Linked DNA regions of Drosophila melanogaster. The protein of the gene in region 2 interacts with the protein of the main gene of each other region in a pairwise test. Each region holds a gene or a part of one and is shown on either strand. Other genes may lie near its edges.

Region 1 (7,733 bases), on a different chromosome or scaffold from region 2:
TTATATGTGGATGACACAGTACCTGAATTATGTTCATTTCAAAATTCTGTTCTAAAATTTAACGAATAATTTTGAACTTGTGTTAATCTCGACTTTTTGCGATTACTTTGATGGAAAAAGCACGGCCTGCTTTCATCTACATTGGATTTTCACAGTATTCTTGTCTGTCCTCAAGCTTAGTGTAAAAAATTGCAGTTCCAAATAGTAAAAATGTGCTTATGAATGAAAAACGCACGAAGAGAGAGCGGGAGTGCGCTAAACAAGAATGCAAATGAAACGACTCTCGCACGCACACACTTACGTTTAGGTGCTGGGGCAGACGGGCGCTCTTTGTTTGTCTATGTTGTAATTTCGATTTGGGGTACAAATTCCAATGGGCACACGAATGAAGAAGAAGAGCCAGCCACCGCGTACACGCACACACTGTACAGAGCGAGCGCGCGTATTTTTTCGACTCTGCGCGTGCCTGTGTATATGTATGTGTGCGGCTTTAATTTTATTTAATTCTTAGCTTTGATTCTTAACATTCGTATTGTGCTTCCCTTGATTTGCACAATTATGAAACCGCCGCAGTATGTTTCTCGAAACAAATCACAAAAGTTCGCCAGAAACAACAATAATCAAGACAATAATTCCGACGCAGTAGGAAAATTTATAAGAAACGAGACGCTGTATGTGTCTGTTATTTTTTATGCCCTCTTATTTTTCTAGGAACTGGCTCACACTCATACGTTGTACTACATTAATTTGACTAATGAAAACAATCGGTTAAATACTTTGAACACAACACGGAGGGAGAATACACTTATTTTTATTCCGATTTAGATTTTATGTAATTTATTTGGCCTTTTGTGGAGTATTATTTAATCGCACCACTACAGCACTACATCACACGAACTTGGGGCGTCGTGTATTTGCCTGTGTATGTATATCAATGCCAGCGCGCTATGGGTGTGTGTGTGTGCGTAGTCGAACGCCGCGTGCACGAAGCGACTGGTTTGAAATCCAATAAGAAACTATGGTCGGGCGAGACTTTGACTTCCAAGCATTTGGCTCGAGCAGCGAAACCGATGGGAGACGAGCGCCACCCGAGAGAACTCTCTTTGGCGTTGCCGCCCCCGCCAAGCTAACCCTCGGCGCTCTCAGTTAAATGGGGCCAAAGCAGCGCAGTCGTGTCGCCGCTGGCGTCACAATTTTTTTTACAAGGCGAACAAGTTGCGCGCCACTTTTGAGAGCGTAATTGTTGCACTGTAATTGTTTGCCAGTGACTTTTTATAAATAAACACGACGGGGCAAAGCGAAAACAAGTTTCAGTCGAAATCCACACAACTACATAAGGCCAAAGAGAGCGCACGCTCTTTTTGAAGAGAGAGAGTGAGAGAGAGAGAGAGAGAGAGAGAGAGAGGGGAGACGACCGCATTCCTAACTGTAAACAAGCAAGAAGCGGAGACACTATAAAAGTGGGAAAGAGACAAGGCGACAGGCTAAGAATGCGGCGCTGCTGGAAAAACTCGTTTTTCCCGCTGGAAAAGGAAAATATGGATAAAAAAGAATTCGAGGAATTTTCGTGCGAAAGAGAAAGAGAAGTGGTGTAAAAATAAACAAGAATCCGAACCCGATTACGAATACATACACAGGGCAACGAAGGAAGAGAATTGGAATAGCTGAAAAACAGAGCGGACAAAACAAAATGCTTGAAAAGCGAAGGGGCAGCTCAAAGCGGACAAGCTGATACGTAGTAAAACATACCAACGACGGCAACTTCAAATGTAAATAAGTATATAAACGAGGTATGTAAGCGGATGAGTGTGTGCAACAACAACAGTAAACCTAATGACAACAAACCGAGCAACAGACATGCAAGTGAAAGGCCTTTGCGTTGTTTCCCATCCACTACTCAAGTTATTTGCAAAATAAAAACAGCTAAAAGAAGACAAAGTGATGAACTCGGATCGGGAGAGAGAGGGGCATAATTTTACTTTTGGCTGCTTGCAAGAGAAAATAAAATAAATAATTCATTTATTGGTTGCTGCTAATAGATAGCAATTAAAAGTAAAAGAAACCACAATAAATTGTTGTTTAGAAACCAGCTGGAATCATTGTGTTTTTTTGCTGTGAATTTTTGTTGTTGTTTTTAAAGTATCAAGCAATTTGCGAGGCAATGAACTGCAGTTGTTAAATAAATTTAGTCAACCCCTGCGGCTTCATTAAACTTTTTTATGCATTTTATTTTCGTTGTCGGGTGCCTGCAAAATAATTATACACATCCACTGCCTATTTATGTCGAGTAATATAAGCATCTGAAAATGTATTCATAATCAACTCCATCTAGATAGCTTTTAAAGTGGTTGTTATACAGACAGTCGTTGAATTATCTTATTTTATTGCCCACTTAGTGAGGAGTTTATGGCTTTGATCTTTATATATTATACCAGCATGTGTTGTCAATGGAAATTTTTTAGATGAAATGTACGGAAATATTTAAATTTATTGGTAACAAGAATTGCAAAAAGTAAAAATACTTTTTTTTTTTGCTATATAGCTCAAACATTAAATTTCACAGCTTTATGAGTATTTCATTATTTCATGTCAATAAATTATTTTGCAGCTTTTGTATTTTGTAAACAAAAATTTGTACAACCAATTCAATTTTTTTTTCCAAGAACAATTTTGTGTAATTTAACGATAAAATTGATGGGAGGTATTTTCTCGAAAGCATTACTTGTAGTTTGTAAAAAAAGTTTTACTAAATTATTTTAATTAAAAACAACTTTAACAAATTGTACTTTCGCATTACCCCATATCTATGCTATAAACTTATTTTTTAACACCTTAACAAGTCTCATAAGCCTCATAAGATATATTCACTTAATCAAAATTTAAATAAATATAAGTATATATGTATCAGGGCCAAACACCGCACCTTTTTAAGACACTATTTACCTTGATAGACTTTATTTTGCGCACAACGTAGTTGTTAATTTTGTTGGACCAGCTTTTACATTTCATGATATTTTTCGCGTTCTCCGCCGTTCTCGGGGAGGATGAAGAGGCAAAGACAACGGTAAACGGATTGCTTTCGTCACTTGAAGTTGCTGCCCTCACTCATTTCAGTTTCATTTCGTTTTACCGGTTTTTGTAATATTTTTTTATTTGCTTCACTTTGCGATATTTATTCACTTGAGTTTTCACCGCCCGGCGACAGTTGCAAAACCTTTGTGATTGCAAATGGTAATTATACGTATACACGAAGACTCGGGTCTTACTCGCATTTCTTTTTGGCGCGATAAAAGGAAAATTGGACGTTGTGGTTTTTCCAACAGGGCGTCAAATTTGTATCCGTGATTACGACCGAACCCGTCAAATTTCCGATTCGAAATGAGTCGAAAAGGCGAAAGAAAAGGCAAGGAGAGCGCGCTAAACTGGGAACGGCGGCATTGGGCCACAGTTACCAAATCGTGAGCGCGGAGAACTGGAAGAGAGATAGAGAGTTATGGGGTAAAAAAGAGTGCGGAGAAGTGTAAGAATTTTCATTTGAGTTTTAATCGACACATGAATAATGGGAAAATTATGTTATTTTTTATTAAGTTAGCTTTAAATTTATATTTTTGTATTCTTTTTTAAATAATTAGTTTTTAACGGGTTTTGTTTGTTTTTCTTTGATTTTGCGTATATATTGCATCTGTTGAAACACGTTATTGTCACCCTAATGTTGGATAGCTATTAAATTTGGGTATTTCTGGAACTTTCTTGAATTATTTGCAGGTCTTTCGAAAAAACAGTTATGCATATCCTATTCATTTCACCGATTTGCAAGTCACGGTTCCGTTATTGCCGCGAGTGGGCAAGCTATTTGCGTTTTCTTTTACATTTCGAATGCGCCGCCCATTAATTATTTATTTATTAATGAGTAAGTGACGCACTTGTTTTCATCCACTTATTTGTTGTTACTGCAACGAATCTTGCTTACATTTACATACATACATACATAGGTACATAATTCCATCAAGATCATGCATCAGTGCCACGCCCCCATCTATAAAATGAAATTGTGGACAACGTCGCTGTCGTAAACTTCCAAGGCAATTATGTATGTATGTATGTGTACAAATGTGCATTTTCTGGAATTTAAACTATTCCCGCTCTCTTCGCGCACGGATCGTTCGTTGATCCGCACTCTGGGTTCCACATTAGCATAAGTGTAAGGCCTTCTACACAAACGCGTTCCACAATTCATTCACATCGCCTGTTCCACAACTTTCCGGCGTTCCGTCACGTTCGCGCGCCTTTTCCACCCAGCGTGAAAAAATTCACTTGCTGCTCCCGCTCCCGCTCACGGTTTTATTCTCGTTTTTACGTTTTACTACGAAGCGAAAACAAAACAAAATTAAGGGGAAGCGGAAACTGCAGTTGCTTTGGCTTTGCTGACGTGGATGCCGACGCTTTCGTCATCAAGTTTTTCTCTCACTTTGTTTTTTTTTCTCTTTAAGAAATATTGTAAATATTAGTTCTGTTCCTGTTATGGTTTTTTATCTTGTTAAGAAATATTGTAAATATTAGTTCTATTCCTGTTATTTTCTATATTTGGTTGAGTTTCCATTTATGTATTATTTAAATTTCCTAGCTTAATTTGTTTAAAGACTTACTTGTGAATTGCTGCGTAGTTTAAATAACACAGTTTAATAAACACATTTAATATTCAAAGACCTTATCAATTAGCAATATAAGTAATATTTCTTTAGTTTTTGTGTACTTGTGATAAGCACTCATTCAAACTGAACGGCGTTTAGGCTCAAATAAATCTATGAAAATTACAATTCGTCTTCATCGAATGAACTTTGACTGCATATTTTAGAAATGGTCGCGAATTTTCTTCTTACCTATTTTATTTTATATAATAATCAAATTCAATTTAATTTGTCTCACCCTTAGCGAGTTCGGTGGCTTAGTTAAAATCGTTTTTATTTGGCCTCTGCTTTTAGCATTTTGTGGCTAATTTATTTCTTGCTTTCTGCTAAAAAATATTTGAAATTAGCATTTTTAATGGGCAGCAATCGAGGTTCGGCGAGACACAATGTCGCCTGAAAAATATTTTTAAAATCCCATTTGCATATATTTTCAGCCAAGCGCTTAGTATAAAAAGCTAATTTCACGAAATCCCAGCTGATTTAGTCATCAACGGTGGGCTGTGCACCAGTTTCTTTCTAATTGCTGGACTTCCCCCCGCTTGGAAGCTAAGCTTGGCAGACGAACCGGTTCGGAACCCTCGGAGCTCTCATTTAGTTGCCCATTATTAAACCCGTCGGTATCCCAGAGTTACACATCAATGGACCCGCCGATTCGTCCTCAATTTGTTTAATTTATTAGCAAATAGTGGTGTGGGGTACGGTTTTGTGATAGCGTGTTAGGGCAGCGCAATATGTCGTTTTAATCATCAAAATGGGCTGGGGAAATTTTTTTTCTGTTGCCTTATGAAATAAATTTAAAAAATGCTTGGGACCAGCCAAGACCATTTTCTTCACTTAGCTTTTCATTTCCACACCAAGCCACCATTTGACATGTGAAAATTTATGAAATTAAAAAGGGGAAGTGAAGATCCTAAATGTAAGTGCAATCCAAACTGAACATGAACATCTCAACATGAAAGGCTTTAATATTTAAATATTTGCCAAATATAAAGCAACAGAACCGCTATTATTTTGCTTTTTGAGTTTCCATTCGCTCATTTTCCCACGGGACGATAAAATAATAAAGTTCTGTTCGTTTCCCCTTTGAATTTTGATCCAATTCGATTATAAATGAATGCGCATGTCGAACAGAAACAATTAAATTAAAAGCCATAATTTAATTAACACCCGTCCAGTCGAGTGCCCGACACAACAACCAAAGCAAAAATGAATAGGAGTGACAGAAAACAAATCAATGAGAGTTTCACACATACCACTCACTTTTCCCATTTTTCGCCCGGTGTACATTGCGCAAACGCCGCGTGTGGCGCCAGGCGGCGTGAAAATAAAATTGGCGCCAAACGAATTCGCAATGGTCAATTAAAAAGGAGCAGAAGCAATGCGACCACCAACTTACCTCAAACGGTTTATTTAAAACTCTAAACGGTCGTTTTCTATAAATTATTTTGCTTTCGTGGAAGAGGAGGAAGGGGCACAGGCGGTCAGGAGGACAAACAGGTGACTGCAGCTAAAACAATGAATAATTTTCGGATGGCGCCTCAACGGCGATACTCGACTTTTCCGTTCCCACGTTCTCGATTCACGTGCAACACGACAAGTGCGCCTTACAGTAGTTCAGGCACTCTTCTTTCAGCCCGGCTCGAGTGGCTATTTAATGGGGCGTGTGTCAGGGCCACCAGATGCCAGGTGAAAATAAGCCAATTCTCCGAGAACGAATCAATGCACCTGGCTTTCGTCATAAAAGCTTCGCACAATAATGACATTTGCATATGCATTAGTTTGGCGTTATTGACAGTTTAATTGGAAATTAGAATTCTTATCGGTGTAGCTTAGCATTATTATTTTAAAGTACTCTCCTCTTTTCAAAATGCCCCTTGCATAGTCCTACGCTCGGAATTTAGTAATGAATTAAGTTTTTTAATTTTTTGCCCCCTTTAAGGGCATTTCCAGTTCGTAGTTTTCCCTTCGTAAATTTCTGTGTTTTTTTGTTTCGTCGGCAAAAGCGCAATTGATGATTGCATGAATATGTTTTCCAATTGCGTCGCAGCAAAGAGAGAAAGGAGTGCAGTGGGTGCCCCTAGGTACTTAAGAGGCAGACTTTTGTATGGCGTCTTCTTATTCATTTGTGCGTGCTATGAAAAAAGGCGTCCCAGAACCTGGCCCTAATATAATTTTGTAATATATTATTATTGAAAATTTATTGAATTTAAGCGAAAGCAAAAATGTTGTTTATATTATTTTCAAAGGCCTTTATAACATTTTGCATTTTCCCATTTTTGGGGAACATTTTGCTACACCTGTGCTTTTTTGGTGCACGGTATTGCGTGGTGCGACGCTATTGTTCAAGTTCAGCGCTAGGAAGAGCAATAGCATAAGCGCAAAACAGCGGCCCCAATGCAGACAACATACGACCTTTCTTTGTGGGCGCGAGTGGGCGATGCCATGTGCTTTGTTGTTCTGTCGCTCACCTCTGTCCTTTCCGCCTATGAATACTAGATACCCACTTACCTTTCGCATAGCCAGAGTCGCTTGTAGCAAGTGCGACCCGTACCAATCAGGTGACAACGTATCACGGCTTGGAAATTGACATACACAGAACTTTGCTTTTATATTGGGTTTGGTTTTTTGATTCGTATTTGGATTTGGTTTTGGTTTAGCTTTTAAGCTTTTTGCGGCTGTTTCATGTTCAAGTGCAGCGGCCGCTGACCGAAGACGACTGAGTTGCACTTGCCCTGCGGTCACCGCTTAAATAACGGAGCTGAATAGCTGAAACCAAAACCAAAACAAATCCGGAAGAAAGGAAACGGGAGATGGAACTAAATGAAGACGTGTGCACTGGGTATCGGGACCTGGTGAAGCCACATACATACATACGTGGGAGGCTGACTAATGGATTCTGTTCCCGGCGGTCGAGAAGGTTCCTTATGCATACAGTCGTCGACCCAGGAGGTTGTTATTCATACATACATATATACATACACATAACGGTGGGGGTGGACTGTCATCGCTGACTGGATATAGAAAATAAAAATAAATAATATGTAA
Region 2 (9,396 bases):
AAGAGCTGCTGGTGCGGCAGATTCGAGTTTCAGTGCTGCCAACTGTCGATTTGCTGAATCTATGAAGCATGGGCTTTATCACTCATACGCATTGTTGATCATTACATAGATTTATCGAAACAGTAAGAATATGTCACAATTTAAAATAAATAAAAAAAAATATATAAAAAAAAGAATAAGATTTAGTTGATTAGCATATGCTTACATATTAGTATGTTTATATATTTATTTGTATAAATACATCAAGAAACTAATTTAATCAAGCAACAAATGGAAAAAGTTCCAACTTCTGTTTTTTAAAATTAAAAAAAAAAAAACCCCAAAAATGTCCCTAGCCAATTGGCCAACTCTGCAACTGGGCGGCGGTAGGGGGCTGAGCTCGGCGTGGGCGCTGGAGGGGTCACGGGGGTTAGAGTACCCCTGGCAGTGACAGCGATGGCGACAGTTGCACTGCAAACTGAGCTTACGACTGCCGGGCGACTAATTGGTTTACTTATGGCCTTTATTTTTTGCAGTTGCAGTTGTTCGGCCCGAAATGCCAGCAACACTTTTTAAGCCATAATTGCGGGGGTGGGAGGAGGGTGTTGTGGTGGTTTCGGTCTTTGTGCGAGGGTTGGGCGGTCTTGCAGGGGACTCCCCCGCATTTTCAGCGACTCAATTTTTCAGGGGAAGCAAGAGGCAACAAAAAAAAATATTGCGAACCACACACGAGTTAACAATCAATTAGGGTCCGAGTTTCCTGTGCTCGATTTTTTCTCTTTGTTCCCATGTTAACCTGTAAATTGCGCGGAGGCGGGCGCAGTCAAAGGGTTGTAGTATATACGAACATAATAACAATAATAATAACAATAATAATAATAATATTAATAATAATTATAATATGAATCATAATAATAAGTCGACTAATAAGTAAACTTAGGACCACCCTAATTCCTTAGGGTCACCCTAGTAGATCTTTAGATACACCCTAATACTAAATATGCGAATTCAGCATGTACGCCTTTAGGGGTCGCACTCGACTCCCATTGGTTATCGAGTATGAACTTCATACATACATATTGCAGAATTTGCTAGTGTCAGCACTTGGCTGTCACAAGAGATCTGCCTGTAGACCACACTAAGATCAGTTATAAATCAGGAATAGATCTGGAATGTAGACTCGCTTAATAAAAACCAAATAAAGATAAAATGACCAACTGCGTTTTGAGACTTTATTAACTACATCAGAAGTATTGGAATTCTAATTAACTACAGGGTTAAGGGGGCGTGGCAATGTCTGGGCTTATGTTTGCATTCGCCTTTAACCGTTAACCAGTCGCCTTTTGCCTTTGACGAAACTCCTTGCCCGCCAACAACAGCAAGTGATTACTTATTTAAAAACTCCATTAGAACCCGTTCAATATCGAGGGACGTTCGGGGGAGAGGATCTAGTTAAGGCCTAGGGTTAGGAGCTGCAAGGTATCAGCCATAAGTATATTGCCCACAAATAATGTTAGTCTTTACTGCATGTAAAATTCATAATTTCTGAAAATATGTAAAGTCCTCATTTTTGAGAATCTATGAAGCTAATTGAAATATAATTCCAATTACAATTTTGTGACGCACTGTAGCTATTATCGTTCTTATTGCCTTGAGAATTAATAAGTGTATACAAAAAAATAATAATATGCAGAGCAACTGTTATTTTTGCCCAGACAGCATTACATTTTCGCCACTCACTGTCCTTTCCACAGCTAACTCATTTCCCATTTTCCCATTAACTTGGGCAAATACTATGTCATCATCAAACAAGGCAAGAGCGAAGGAGAATCAACTGGGAAGCAGGCAGCTTCAAACTCAATTTGCTTAAATTTTAGCCCATAATGATTTCAGGTCCTGCACATTTTTTCGACTAGTTGCGATTAATTTCACTCTTCAGGAGTTAATTAGATTGTTATAAACTGAGGTACCCAATATTTAGATTTCGTTTTTTTTTTAAGAACTTGTATGTTTTATTATATATTAAGGTAGCAATTTAGCCTTGTACATCCTTCTCTATTTTATTACAACATTTTGTAACAGCAATCACATGCAATTAACTTTACTATTTAACAGATTATTGGAGCACATATAGCAAATTCATATTTTAAAAACATTTTGATGCATTAAAAAGCTTTCATGTACTTTTTATGATGCTTATATAACTTATAAGCTCTACCAAATGAGTCAGATCCATTATAAAAAGGGGTAAAAAGGCGAAGAAAAAAATCAATTAAGCCCTGATATTTGATATTATTTTTCCTCTGCGCTCTGTGGGACTATCTTATAAATCGCCGTTGCCATTCTGATGCGTTCGGCTTTGTATTTTATGCTGCTCCTCGAGTTCAGAATTTTCTATTTGGCGATTTGGATGGATGGTTGAGGTGGGGGAGGGGGGGGGCGCGTTCGGGGGGAAGGCAAACAGCTTTAGACACTTTAACACATTCCTCTGGGAATGAATACTCCGTGGAAGGAGCCACTACACACTCGCACACTCACACAGCCAGACATTTTAGTGGGCCTTCAGCATCGACATCGAAAAGTCTCGGACTTCGACTTGGACGGGGATAAAAAGGTGCACTGATAAAAAAGCATGGGAACTTCATGCCGAGTCTGGTTTTCGAGAAGCACATCCTCATTTTCATTAATTCATTTATCATGACTTTAATAGTTAGGTAATACTGATTAGGAAATCTTTTAGGCTTGCAGTCCACGTTGTGACGAAGCGCACCAAGATAGTTAAATCTACCGTGATGGTCTGATCACATTAAACCAAATGTTTTATATATCTCTTATTTCGTAATTAGTTTTTTCTTGCAGTGCCCGAAGGTAAGAGAAACATTTAGACGACTTTCCAAGACCGGTTCTTTTGGCTCTATGAACTCGCCTTCGTCCGCCTCGTACTAACTAGAACTTGTGGCCAAAATAAAAGGCAAACATAAAGCAGCAGCAGCTAGGCTAACAAAAAAAAAAAAACACAAAAAAAAGGCAAAACAGGGAAATGGTCAGCTAGTTGGCCAGTAGCACTTGGCCAACGGCCCTGTCCTTCTGCACCTTTCCGTTTGGACGGATTTATTTTAGTTAATAAGCGAAATCAGCGGAGGGCTGCTCAAATTGTTTGCATTTTTCGGTTGCTTAAAAGGTCCTTACATTCGTCAAGTAATGTACAAAAAATGTAATGAACTGGTATTCAAAGAACTTTGTTTTTTTTTTTGTAATACTTTTTCCCCTAATTCAATTTAACATTCTTTACTGCGTGTCACACACACATTTTTGACATTTATCGGTTAATATATCTAAGATTATAATATACAACTTTCCTTTCTATTCGTTTATGTTTCTTTGTGAAATGTAACAGGAAGAGTCAACCAAAGGGGCACTTTTTTCTTCATTCAGTTTGATGATTGGCCACACTTCTGAAATTCCTGAATTCATTTTTTAACAGCACCCTGCTGAAACTGCCAAAACATTTCGACAGTCCAGAATTCGTACATTTTTTGTTTCGGTAGCTTGATTTTTAGTTTGTTTACTTTTTGCTACCTTTTTGCGTGGCGGTTGTGTCTTTTGATGATCGATCAGCTTTTGGAAGCAATCAGGGAGCCAGGAAATCAGAGGACTCGTCACTTTCCACCACCATGTTGGCCAACTAATTAGATTCGCTCTGAATTCCCGGCTAATTGAAAGGTGAGCAGCGCGCTTGAACTTTTGGCACTTGCCAACTTTTAAGCTGTGCCAAAATGCTAGAAAAACTTAACGCTTTGAGATGGAAACTTCTAGCAAAGTACAACAAAAAGTAAAAAAAAAAATGGACAAAGTAATAAATTGTACAAACAAATAAACAAACAGTAAATCTTATCTGAAGGTTTATTAACGTATTTCGACAAAAACTAAATTATTTCCATGCTTTAAAAGTTTGGTTTTAAAGCTCTTTATAAAGCAACAACCAAATGCCGGCGATGAAATTTCGATTTCTGTGGCGTATAAAAACTGCAAGTTATTCATCTTAATTAAAAGGGATCCTAATGGCCAAGGACCAAACAAAGGATACAGCTAAGGGCGACGCGACAACATTTCGAGCCAATTGCTTGTGAGACAAAAGAGCCAAGTTATTGTTGTTAATATAAATGTATGTAGTGAGTCTGCTAAAAAGGGGAAACCTGCTCTCACCCAAAAATTGACAACTCTGAAATTTATTTGTATTTTAAGAAAGTGTCTAAAAAGAGATGTTCAGAAAATATAATATGTGAAAACTTTATATCGCGATTTAAGCCCTAAAGTTACAACTTAATATACATAAAATAAATTCACGTAATATTTTTCTTTTTTTTTCGGTCAAGTATATGATTTTCGATTTTTTGAAATTTCATGCCAATTATTGTTTAAAAAACACAGACAACGCTTCCAGTTCTAAGGAAAAAAATATTCAATTTTGGTGCACTACAAATACTTTTTCTGCCACTTTTATAACCCTTATTTAACTAATTTGCGAAATACTTTTCCATTCAAGTGCTAATGTTTTGGCGGCTTTTTCGTTTTGCGGTTTTCGCAGGTGGCGGCAGCTGCCACGTGACCGCAAATGTCCTGCGGCAAACGCATCCTTAGCTACTTAAAAAGCTGCACTTACGTTTTCAGCAACGATCGGTTGACAACGGCGCCGCAAATTCAATGAACTCGAAACTAGTTTGGCACATAAACAAAAATCGCAAAAAAAAAGAAGTGTAACGAAATTAAAGGAAAACCGCACACACACGCACACACAAAATGAAAATATAATATTTCACACTACTTCATTTTTTTCGTGGCTCTTTCTAAAAACTGGTAAGAATTGCTGGCCACCAGGTTGTGGTTACTGTTGTTTCTGATCGCGACTTAAAAACGACGCTCTTCGCAGGATTAGCGCTCTCTTCGAAGAGAGCCCCAGCAGAAGTTTAAGGAGAGGAGACGTCCTCGCGCGAGCAGCACCAAAATCCAACTGCGGCCGAATCCCACGGACGCAGCGACGTCCCCACGTCGACGACGCCGGCAGTGCCGCAAATGCAGTTTGCTCGCCACAGGCACGGAAAAAGAATTAATGCCCAAATGGCTTAGAGCTTGTTTTAAGTTAATGATTGAATGGAAGCGACGTTTATTGTGAACTTAGTATTGCTAAAAAGTAAGTGTAAGTAAGTAAGTAATTTAATTTAACAATGCACATCACAAACCATAAAATTGGTTTCAATCTTTGAAATAGCTTAAACATTATTTTATCAAAAAAACATAATTAGTATACATATTTTTTTAAGAACTTTGGTATTTTGAAAACATTTAATAGCTGCGCAGTTGTAGCTGCTATTGCTTTGACTGCTGCTGTGGACCTGAGCTAGTGTGCGAATGGAGTGCAGAAGGAAAGGAACAAGAACTGCCAGATGAAACAAAAACAAAAAACAGCTAAAGCAGCAACAACAACATGCTGATGCAGTGGAGCTGTAGTTGTATTTGTAGTAGGAGTTGGAGCTGGAATTGGAGTTTGGAGTTCCAATCAGACGAAAAGCAACTAGCGACGCGCGCGCTCTTTTCCGCTCTCTCACACACTCTCTCGTTTTCGGCACACTACTCTCGCTCTCCTTTTGCATTACGTATACGCCAAACAACGCAAAACTTAAACCGGCATTTTGTTAGGCGCACGTTTTGAGCCTCTACGAAGAGTGGGATCGAAGAAGGGAAGCGAGGGAGAGAGCAGAAAATGCTTCAGAACAGGTGCGGATCACTTTCAAAACGGTGCAGGGTATAGTTTATATTGTAGTTTACCTAATGCCCGAAAAAGTAGGCAATGTTTTATGGGAATACGGTTACCTGATTAATTTTGTTAGTTCATCAATCTAAGCCGATCTATTAGTTTTGTTACAAAAAAAATTAAGTCTGCTTGGTTCATAACTGCGATGATACGGAAAAAAAGTTTATACTTTTCTGTTTTCTCGAAATGATGGTCTAACTAATACTGAGTTAGAAAATCTTCGTTGGTTGTCATATATGCAGCCAACCAACTGAATCCGCTCCTGGCAACTTAGCATTTTCGCGCGTGCAGCAGGCAGTGCAACAACAGCAACCCCAGCGCCGGAGAAGAGTGCATCGGTTAGTGTGTGCGTGTAGGTGTGTGTGTGAGCTGCAGCTGGCAGCGAGCTTCCTACTTTATTACTGGTTTCCAACTTAATAAAATATGTGGAGCGCTTGATTTACTCTCAACAAGGATACGCAAGGGTTAAGAAAAGCAATGGCAGGCAGAAGAGGGTTAAAAAGAGATAAGCCAAAGAGAGCGACTTTCTTCGCCAGCTGTTTCGCCGAGCTTCTCCCGTTGCCTTTTGTTTTTGCCGCGCATTCGCCGGCTGGGATCTCTCTTTCCCTTTCTCACACTCTCTTCTGTTTCGGTGCCCCTCTCCCACCGTCTGGCCTCTCACTCATACGCCAGCTGTTGCTCCTTTAAGCGCCAGCGTACCGGAATGCACTTAAAAAAAGTGTGGCCTTGAACGTCTAAAAGCATTACAAATTTACTCATATATAACTTAAATGAATAATTAATATATAAAAATAAAGAACGTATAAGAATAATTAAAAATGGTTCTGCGAAATGAAATGTATTAATTTCAGTTTACATTTTCTTGCGCGAAATAGCACATATGCAAAATTCTTGTAGTGTAGCAACGGATTGCTGTACGTTCTGCTGTGTCTTGTAGTTTATTGCAATTTCTTATTAATAAGCGCCTTTTATGTGGAGCCGGGCGTTAGTGCCCTCCCATGGGCGACATTAACGTTAATAATAATAAAATGTGTAATTGCATACTGGGAAGAAGCAGAGCTGGCCAAGAACAAGAAGATGAAGGAGAGGGAGAAGAACATCAGCTTCTTCTTCCAACCAGTTTCGCAGACGTTGTAAGGCCCATCTTTTATCCTGAATTCTCTTTTTTTGCAGCCAGAGGTGTAAATCATTTTCTAATCGCAGCCAGCAGATCACATGCACACGCATCAACAAGCCAACACACATATAGAGGTACTCTGGACACACAGATACTTTGGACACACAGATACTCACACACACAGAAAGTGCAGTTGGACACTCGGAGTGGACTTGACTTTTGTTTTTGGCACTGCATTTACTTTATGTTTACGTTGTCCAGCTAAAACTTTCCAGCATTTTGATTTCAGCCAAAAGGACAATATTGTTGTCGTCGAGTGGGTGGAAAAGTGGGGTGGCGAAGGGATTTAAGGGGATAGAGGCGCCTGAACTGCAGCCAAAAGTCGAATGCAATCAAAGACGCAGCGGAAACAGAAGCACTTGCCAGGATGTCGGCGTAACCAGTGATGCAAAAGTGGCTTAAACCGATCTGAAAATAAATCAATTACAAAAAAAGACTACTGAAAATTACATGAAAATTTATATAAGTCATAAAACTAAAACGAAAAAGCTAGATAGATCATTAAAGCTATAAACTGAAAAACAAAATACAGCAAGACCCTTTAGATACACCTACTTTTGAATCATTTGAGATAACCTCTCCGTTTTCCTCTTTTTAAATAAAATAGTTCTTGTATTTCCCATGGAAAACCATAAAGTTATCGGCTACATTTGTGTGCAATGCGCCTGCAGGACAAAGTTCAATAAATTTATCAAATGATTCGTGATTCTGGCATTTTCCAATCGAAGTGGCTCGTGAAATTCGGAGAAAATCCGGTCTGATATGTCTTCGTTTGGCTGGGAAAACTTTCGCGTCTGGCAAAACTTTGCTCGTCCTTCTCGTGGCATTTTGTGTCTTAATTTCTGCATTATCCTGGCCATCTTAATTAAGCTGCCTGTCAGAAGGCGCCACGCCCACCGCCGTCTGCTCATTTGTTTGCCGCCATGTTTCGCGGGGTGTTTGGCATTTTCTTTTTCTTCGTATATATATTTTTTTGTTTTTAAGCTGGTCCTGGTACACACTGTACAGAACTTCCGGTTCCGGTGCCTGTGGCACATTGCGTATCCGCGGGCCACATTTCAACCATTGCCATTGTCCTCGTGAGTTTATTTGAATTTATTATACTTCCCCTGCTAGCTCCGTTTTTTATTTAATTTTTGAGCAGATGCAGCCAAGCGTAATAATGGTTGTTATTAACCCGGTGGTGTTGTGGAATATAATTGTACGTAGTAAAAAAGAAAATTTACGAATTGTAAAGTTAATTAAATATCAAGCATACGTAAAGAAAACTTCTGCTTAATGATCACGATCATACATTTTAATGATTTTAATGATTAGGTACATTTTCAAAAGTCGTTACTTATATTACGTATACGTCCTGTGTATCTTCAGCTTAATTTTTAGTGCCAAGGCCTAAAAGGTTTTCCTGCTGAAACTTAAGTGAATCGCCGTTGATAAAACTGCCCACACCTTTCTCGTAATTGTTTAATTCGTTTTTTATTTTTACAAACTGGCAATGGCCATCAACTGAATCAAAGCCATTTCATTAGTTTTAGCACTTTTATGGGCCATTTTAGAAATGCAAATCGAAAATCAAGTGCACAAGAGCTCACAAACGGAATGCGGAAGAGAGTTTGTGAGTGTTTGTTTGTTTGTTTTCTCCCCTTTTTGCACCATTTTCGGAAACGGAAAAGTGGGAGGGAGAGCAAAAGATTTGGAAATTTGTTTTCCCTTTTTTTTGGGAGCATGCAAACAGCGCTTTCAACTCCCTTATTCCAATTAACTTTGCTAAATTTATTTATGCATGCCATTGCACTGGCATAAACATTATAGAACAATATATATTTAATAAATATAAACTTATCATTAAACTGAATTTTTGTGGTTACATTTTCTAAAAGATTATTAAGATCATTAAATTGTTAAAACAAAAAAAAAACTTTAAAATTCTGCAGATAAAATGTGTTGATTCTATTTCAAAATCTGCATTAAACAATTTGTATTTAAATGTAAAGTTAATCATAGAATAATAAAAATATTTAATATTTTTTTCTGTGTATCCATGCATGTGAGATTAGTTATTTGTGGGCGTATGTTTATTGTCAACAAGTCCGTTAACAGGCACTGAGTGTTTTTTTTTTTTATTTTCTTTGCCTTAGTTGTGCCTACTTCTTTTTTATTTTCGTTGATTGTTCGCTATTTTTATTTATTTGTTCCCTTTAATTTAGTGTTGGTTTTTAATCCTTGGCGGCGGGGTCATAAAGCGATCGTTGCATCTTAATCCTAGTCATGGAAACGCCTCTTTTTTGCCAGTAAGGGAAAAGTACAAACTATGCGGCGGTTTCATTCACAGAAATATGCAAATGGTGGGGGGAAATCGCGCAAATTGAATGCGAGACTGGAAAAATACACATCCAACCCCCGGAAAAACGGAAAAGCAGACTCCGTT

The links.
Region 1: the proteins of CG43658 (region 2) and Pdk1 interact in a two-hybrid assay, tested with the Drosophila melanogaster proteins (one large-scale study listed by BioGRID).

The regions. Positions count from the first base shown.
Region 1 is NT_037436.4:125,099-132,831, reverse strand, and holds the start of Pdk1 (Phosphoinositide-dependent kinase 1), read right to left. Parts: upstream 3,383-7,733; 5' UTR 3,010-3,382; coding exon 2,944-3,009; intron 2,103-2,943; exon of another isoform or gene 1,261-2,102; intron 1,021-1,260; exon of another isoform or gene 302-1,020; intron 100-301; exon of another isoform or gene 38-99; coding exon of another isoform or gene 23-37; intron 1-22.
Region 2 is NC_004354.4:17,556,187-17,565,582, forward strand, and holds the start of CG43658 (uncharacterized protein), read right to left. Parts: upstream 4,995-9,396; 5' UTR 4,643-4,994; intron 1-4,642.